Oryctolagus cuniculus: one gene and its partner. The protein of the gene in region 2 purifies or fractionates together with the protein of the main gene of each other region. This does not show direct contact. Links are inferred from orthologs where the notes say so. Each region holds a gene or a part of one and is shown on either strand. Other genes may lie near its edges.

The links. The genes of interacting proteins can lie anywhere in the genome.
Region 1: the proteins of RNF123 (region 2) and UBAC1 purify together in Homo sapiens (affinity purification with mass spectrometry; 7 studies listed by BioGRID and IntAct, counting the BioPlex papers as one, with this or other methods). This does not show direct contact. The link is inferred for Oryctolagus cuniculus from reciprocal best matches to the Homo sapiens genes RNF123 and UBAC1.

The regions. Positions count from the first base shown.
Region 1 is NC_091432.1:236,908,174-236,910,707, reverse strand, and holds part of UBAC1 (ubiquitin-associated domain-containing protein 1), read right to left. Parts: intron 2,434-2,534; coding exon 2,244-2,433; intron 193-2,243; coding exon 106-192; intron 1-105.
Region 2 is NC_091441.1:99,575,487-99,579,563, reverse strand, and holds the start of RNF123 (E3 ubiquitin-protein ligase RNF123), read left to right. Parts: upstream 1-1,277; 5' UTR 1,278-1,419; intron 1,420-1,713; exon of another isoform or gene 1,714-1,810; intron 1,811-2,223; exon of another isoform or gene 2,224-2,741; intron 2,742-4,077. Other genes in the region: MST1 (hepatocyte growth factor-like protein), read right to left, coding at 38-185, 844-937. UniProt on the Homo sapiens protein: Catalytic subunit of the KPC complex that acts as E3 ubiquitin-protein ligase. Promotes the ubiquitination and proteasome-mediated degradation of CDKN1B which is the cyclin-dependent kinase inhibitor at the G0-G1 transition of the cell cycle.

The sequences.
Region 1 (2,534 bases), on a different chromosome or scaffold from region 2:
GTGCAGGTCCAGGGCGGGGGGGGGGGGCACTGTGCAGGTCCAGGGCGGGGTGGGGCGGGGGGCACCAGGCAGGTCCAGGGCGGGGCGCCCCCCCCCCATACTCACGGCGGCACTCTGCTGGTTGTTGTTCACGCGCAAGGCGTCCAGCACCTCCTTCTCATCGAAGCCCATCTCCATGAGGGAGACCACGGCCTGGGGGGCACGGGGCGTCAGGAGCAGCAGGCACCTCGCCCTCCGCCAGCGGGCCCCACACGCGCGTCTCCACCCAGGGCCCAGCACAGCCGGGGACTCCTGCCAGGTCACGGTCCAGCCTCCGCGAAGCCAACCCTGCTCCCGTCTCTCAGGCCAGGAGGCGGTGCCCTGGCAGGGGGGCAGGGGGACAGCAGGCGTCCACTCCGCCCCCTCGGCCGAGCCAGGGTGACCCTCACTGCACTATCTCCAGCCTCGCCCTGGCTCACAAACCAGAGGGTGGAGGGCCGAGCTGCCACCCTCAGGCCTGACCCCTTTCCCGGCAACTCAACGCGAGAGGCGTAGGCCCTAGGCAAGAGTGAAAGCTGGTTGTCTCAGAAGGTTCGGATGGTGACAGGAGACGGCAGTAGCCAGGGGCACACCACGAGGACCACGCCGGGTTCAGAGCAGCACACGCAACCAAGGGCACGGGGACCCCGCCAGGCTGCGATGAGACAGGCGGGCTGCCAGACACGGAGGAGACACAGCACGGGCCGGGGTCTCCAAGGGCCAGGGCCTGAGGGTGGGGCCCAACGTCCCCACACACGCGAAGGCGGCCCTCGCCCCCAGGTGGCGGGCAGGCACTGACGTGGAAGGCCGGGACGGATGTGGGCAGGCGCGGGGACAGCCCGCTCTCCGCAGCCCTCAGGGCCCAGGACGGCCGACACCGGCTCCGGGCTGGGGCCTGCTCAGCTCTGCCGGAGCAGACCGGGCTCCTCGGGTCCCACAGGACCCCCGGGGACACACGAAGGCCTCGGCAGAGGTCATGGTGAGACGCACGCCCTGCGAAGCCACCTGCACGCCACAGCAGGGTCAGAGGCGGCAGAAACCGTCCAGAACCTGCCCGGCCGTGGGCGGGAGGCCTGTGCCGTGCAGGTGCCTGCCACCGCCTCCCAGGAGCAGGAGAGACATGCACTGCCCCTTAAGGGGAGCTCTGGACCTTGGGGCACTGCCGGAAGAGGGGTAGAGGCCCCCAGCTGGCCTCTCCCGCAGACAGGCCGCCTCCCCAGTGGTGCGTCTCCCTCCTCCCACTCGCCGCGCACAGGCCACAGGCACATCCGTTTTGCTAAACCTAAGTCGGCGCGTGTGCCCCCCTAAAAGAAATCCAGGGGCCGGCTCCTGGCACAGAGGGTGGAGCCGCCGCCTGCGACACCGGCATCCCATGTCTCTGCTCCAGCTCCCAGCTGATGGCCTGGGAAAGAGCGGAAGACGGCCCAAGTGGTCCGGACCCGCACCCATGTGGGAGACCCGGATGGCGCTCCTGGCTCTGGCCCAGCCCTGGCCGCTGCAGTCACTGGGGAGTGAACCAGGGGATGGAAGACCCCTCCCTCTCTCCCTTCCCCCCCTCCCCCTCCCCTCCCCCTCCTTCTCTCTCTCCCCTCCCTCCCCTCTCTCCCCTCCCTCCCTCTCTCTCCTCTGAAAACTCTGCTTTTCAAATAAACAAACAACTCCTTGAAAACAGGAAAGAAAAACAAGGCCCACTGCCCAGCTCTGGCTTGCACGCGGCTGCCTGCAGGCTGCCCACCCCCCGCGGCTGCACAGACTCCCGCCCTGACCGTTCCCGACCATCACAAACGCCAGGGAGGGGTCGGAGCCCTGATCAACGACGGGGCCTGCGGAGACAGAGCCGGCGAGGGCGCTGAGGGCCACGGGCGCTCCAGTCACCCGCCCTGGCCAGGCGCTGACCCCTGCAGACGCCTCACAAGACAGGCAGCCCCGCAGGACGACCCTGCAGCTCTGCTCAAGGGCCCCGCCCACAACAGGTGCAGCTCAGGGGCACGCGGAGGACGGGACGCGCAGGCTGCCTGACCACACAGAGGCAGCTCAGCCCCCGGGCTCCCAGCGAGGATGCCCACAAGGGACGTGGCCATGCCAGCGGGGCCCGGCCTGTCTGACCTCCCTCCCTGGCTCCCGGCTCGCGGGCTCAGCAGGCGTCAGCAGCGCACCCAAGCTTCCCGATACAACGCGGCCTCCGGGGACGGCGGCGGCGGCCACGCGGGCGCCGCCCCACGCACCCGAGCGTCCGCCCGGAACTCCCTTCTCCTCCGAATCCTCTGGAAGACCTCCGTCAGCTCGTCTCTGGCCTCCTCGTCCTCGGCGCCCCCTTCAGCAGCTCCGGGCGAGGCCTGGCCCGGCAGAGGCGCGTCTATGGTGGGGTCTTCCGCGTGCTCGATCAGCCACTCCATGGCCTGCGGCACGGACATGCTGCAAGGGAGCGAGACGCCGTCCCAGCACCGCCAGGCCCTCACGGCCCTGCGCCCGGGAGACGCCTCCACCCCAGGACCCCTCAGCCGCCGCCCAACACA
Region 2 (4,077 bases):
ATGCGCCTGGACTCATCTGGGTCCCTTGGTCACCCACCGGCAGTCCAGTAGGGGCTGGCAGCGCCCAGCACACTCCTCAGCGTTTGCCACATCTTCCTGCCAAGGCCCAGGCACCACTGCATGGAGAAGGTGCTGCAGTTCTGTGCCCCGGAGCACTTGGAAGTCGTTCAGTGCTGACCGCTGCCCTGCAGGGTGGCCAACAGTGGTGGGCACAGGGCAGGTGGGAGCACATGTCATAGCGTGAGTCACGGTGTGTGTACTGGCATGACCCCACACTGTCCGTTCAGGGGATCAAAGATACAAGATGGGTCCTGTGTGCACTCTCAGGGCCAGCTCAGCGCCCCCTGCATAGGGTGGGAGAGGCAGGCCCAGACACAGTGGTTCCCAGTAGGCACCGGGCTCAGGTGTAACATGTGCACTCCGTGGCAGCACTGGGTGATGGGGCTTGCTCTATAAAGCTCGTCCCATTTCATCTCTTAAAGGAGAATGCTAAAGCTCAGAACCCTGGTGCCTCCGGCGGGCACCCAGCCTAGGCAGTCTCACTTTGTGTCTGGGCTGTCAGGAGCACAATGGCACCTGCTAGGTTAGAGGGGAGAGCAGGCTCAGGGGCGGTCTCTGCCTGCTGTGTGGGTGCCTCTGGTCCCAGCACTGCCTCAGTGCTGCAGCAGATGGAGGCCTCAGCGACACCGTGGCTGTGCGTTCCCAGGGCTTCCCAGCTCCCTGCAAGAAGTCAAGGACACCTGGCCATGCCCAGCCGGGAACTGACCTCGTGGTCAGGTTAGCGTGGGCCCGAGGCCAACCTCCTCCTGAATGCAGACAGGGATCGGGGAAGGGGGCACTCACCAGGGGCCCCTGAGCACCACGTCAGAAGCAGCAACAGTGGGAGCCACCTCATCCTGCCTGCTGGAGGCTGCACTGTGACCCACCACAGCCCCATCCGGGAAGTTGTGAAACCTGTCCCTTCGGGATTGGGTGGCTCGAGGCCCACGCCCCCACGGCCAGAGAGACCCTGTGGCAGGAGCCAGTAGGGCCCAGGCCTCAGGCTCCGTGAGTCAGATGCAGAAGCCTCATCCTGACACAGCTAGGCCCCTAAGAGGCCTCTCTATGTAGTGGGCAGGTATCAGGAAGTGAGGACACTTGAGGTGCCACAGACCAGGGGTGGACAAGCCTAGACTGCCAGAGAACCTGTGGACATGGCAGCTGCCAGAGGCCTGGGTTCCAGCCCCTGCCTGGTAACGTGAACATTTTCCGAGCCTCAGTTTTCCCCTGTGATGTGGGGAACATTGCCTGCCCCAACCGCAGCACGGCCACCCCCTTTTGGTGCCTTATCTGCCCCAGCTGTAGGCAAGTCAGGCCACGCCCCTGGCAGCCGAACCCAGGGAGGCCCACGCCACCTGCCAGAAGCCTCATCTTGCGAAGGTGAGTAAGGGCACGCGCTGGCCTTAAATAGGGGAGGGGGGTGACAGGCAGCGGAACTCCTGCTGCGGGGCCTTTCAGACGGGCTGGGGGACATCTGGGTCAGGTAGGAGTTGACAGGTGGTCTAGGGTCCCCGATGGGAAATCGCGTGTGGGCTAGGAGCGCCCCAGGGCACGCAGGGGTCAGAAGCAGGTGGACCCTCTCGGGAAGCCAACGCCAGGAAGACCCGGCAGGTGGCCACGGAACCGGGCTCCCCGGCGGAGGCCGGTCGCGGGCCGGTGCGCGTGCGCGGACGGCGGCGCGCGATTGGGTGCGCGGCTTGGCCCTGGACGGGCGCCGTAGCTGAGAGGCTGGGCGGATGTTGTGAGCCGGTCGCGGCGGCCGAGGCTGGGGGTGAGTGAGGGGAGGCCGGGCTCTGAGCGGGGCGGGTCCCCGTGGCTCCCCTCGCGGCCCAGGCATGTCCAGTGCCAGGGCGCCCGCCGCGCGTGGAATGGCGGCCTGTGGTGCGGGACTCCGGGCGGGTGCTGTCCTGGCAGGTCTTCTGGAGCTTGGGGCTAGACGGGGGCGACTTGGGGGAGCCGTGCGCTGCTGCCCTCGGCGTCCTTGGACTCCGAGACGGAGTCCTTTGGCGGGACTGGGCAGGATTGCCGTGGCAAGGAGTCCTCGGACAGGGGCAGGGTCCGCCTTTCACCTGGGTCCTCAGCGCCTGACAGCTGGAGTGGGTGGGTGGGTGGGGGGTGTCTGCAAGGTTTGCTGGTCAGGGAGTGACCGCGTCAGATCATTCCTACAGCTACTCTGGTGTGAGAGGAGGCGGGGCTCTAATCGTGGACGCCCGCCGAGGGTCCGCAGATGGGTGGCAGGGCGGGAGAATCACCCAGCAGGCAAGGGTGGTGCGGGGAGGCGAGGGTTCGTGAGGGTAGCAGAGGGCCTGTTTGGGGTGAGATAAGAGACTGGGCTAAGGCTGTGCCGGAGGGCCGAGCTCTAGAAGGGAGCGGCTAGAACTTTGTGTGATGGCAGAGATGCGCTCCAGCTGTGCTGTCCGGCATGGCAGCCATTAGCTACATGTGGTCGCTGAGCCCTTGAAGTGGGGCTAATTGAGCAACTGAATTTTTAATTTTGTTTAAAAGATTGGTTTACTTATTTGAAAGACAGAAAAGAGAGATCTTCCGTCCACTGGTTCACTCCCCAAATGGCCGAAACAGCTAGGGCTGGACCAGGCTGAAGCCAGAAGCTTCATCCAGGTCTCCCCCACGGGGCAGCAGGGACCCAAATGCTTGGGTCATCTTCCGCAGCTTTCCCAGGCGCATTAGCAGGGAACGGAACGGTAAGTGCAACTGCTGGATTCAAACCTGCACTCACACGGATGCCAGCATTGCAGGTGGTGGCTTGACCTGCTGTGCCACAAGGCTAGGCCCACGTTTTTAATTTTTAAAAAAGATTTATGTTTGAAGGCTGGTGCCGCGGCTCACTAGGCTAATCCTCCACCTGCAGTGCCGGCACACTGGGTTCTAGTCCTGGTTGGGGCGCTGGATTCTGTCCTGGTTGCCCCTCTTCCAGGCCAGCTCTCTGCTGTGGCCAGGGAGTGCAGTGGAGGATGGCCCAAGTGCTTGGGCCCTGCACCCCATGGGAGACCAGGAGAAGCACCTGGCTCCTGCCATCGGATCAGCATGGTGCGCCGGCCGCAGCGCACTGGCCGCGGCAGCCATTGGAGGGTGAACCAACGGCAAAGGAAGACCTTTCTCTCTGTCTCTCTCTCTCACTGTCCACTCTGCCTGTCAAAAAAAAAAAAAAAAAAAAAAGAGAGAGTAACCTGGTCTTGCACCTGTACTCTTATATGAGATACTTGCGTTGCGAGCAGCGGGTTAACGTGGTGTGCTACAGCAATGGCCCCGAATTTTTTTTTAAAGATTTATTTATTTATTTGAAAGAGTTAAAGAGAGTGACAGAGAGAGAGGGAGAGAGGTCTTCCATCTGCTGGTTCACTCCCCAAAGCCAGGAGCCTGGAGCTTCTTCTGGGTCTCCCACACAGGTGCAGGGGCCCAGCGACTTGGGGTATCTTCTGCTTTCCCAGGCCATAGCACAGAGCTGGGTTGGAAGTGGAGTAGCTGGGACTCAAACTGCTGCCCATGTGGGATGCCAGCACCGCAGGTGGTGGCTCTACCCGCTATGCCACAGCGCCAGCCCCAGCCCCAGCCCCAGCCCTGAATTTTTAATTTTTAAAACTTTAATTCGGGTTTAAATAACCACTGTGTTGGGCAACACAGCTGTAGGCCATAGGCCAGCACCAGGAACTTAATGCAGGTTCTGGAGCAGCTATAGCAAATGACACGTGAGGGCTTGACCGTGGTGGGAAGAACAATGAAGTCTGCAATGAGGGCTGAGCAGGCGTGGTGCGTGGATGGAGTGGGAAGTCGTATGTGTGAGTGGGAACGAGAAAACTGGTGGGACCGGGCCTGAGGAGAGGTCCTGACGTCAGCGGTGTACCTGGGCCTGTGGCTGAGGGTGGAGCCAGCAGCCGTGTCTGCACTTGCGGGAATGTGCTGTGGGGTTCTTTGTCCTGAGTGTGAGCTGGGCCCAGTGTAGCTTATGACAGACTTGGATACAGGGGCTCTGCCTAGGTCATCTTGCTTTGGTCTGATCTCCCCAGAGCTGAGACATTT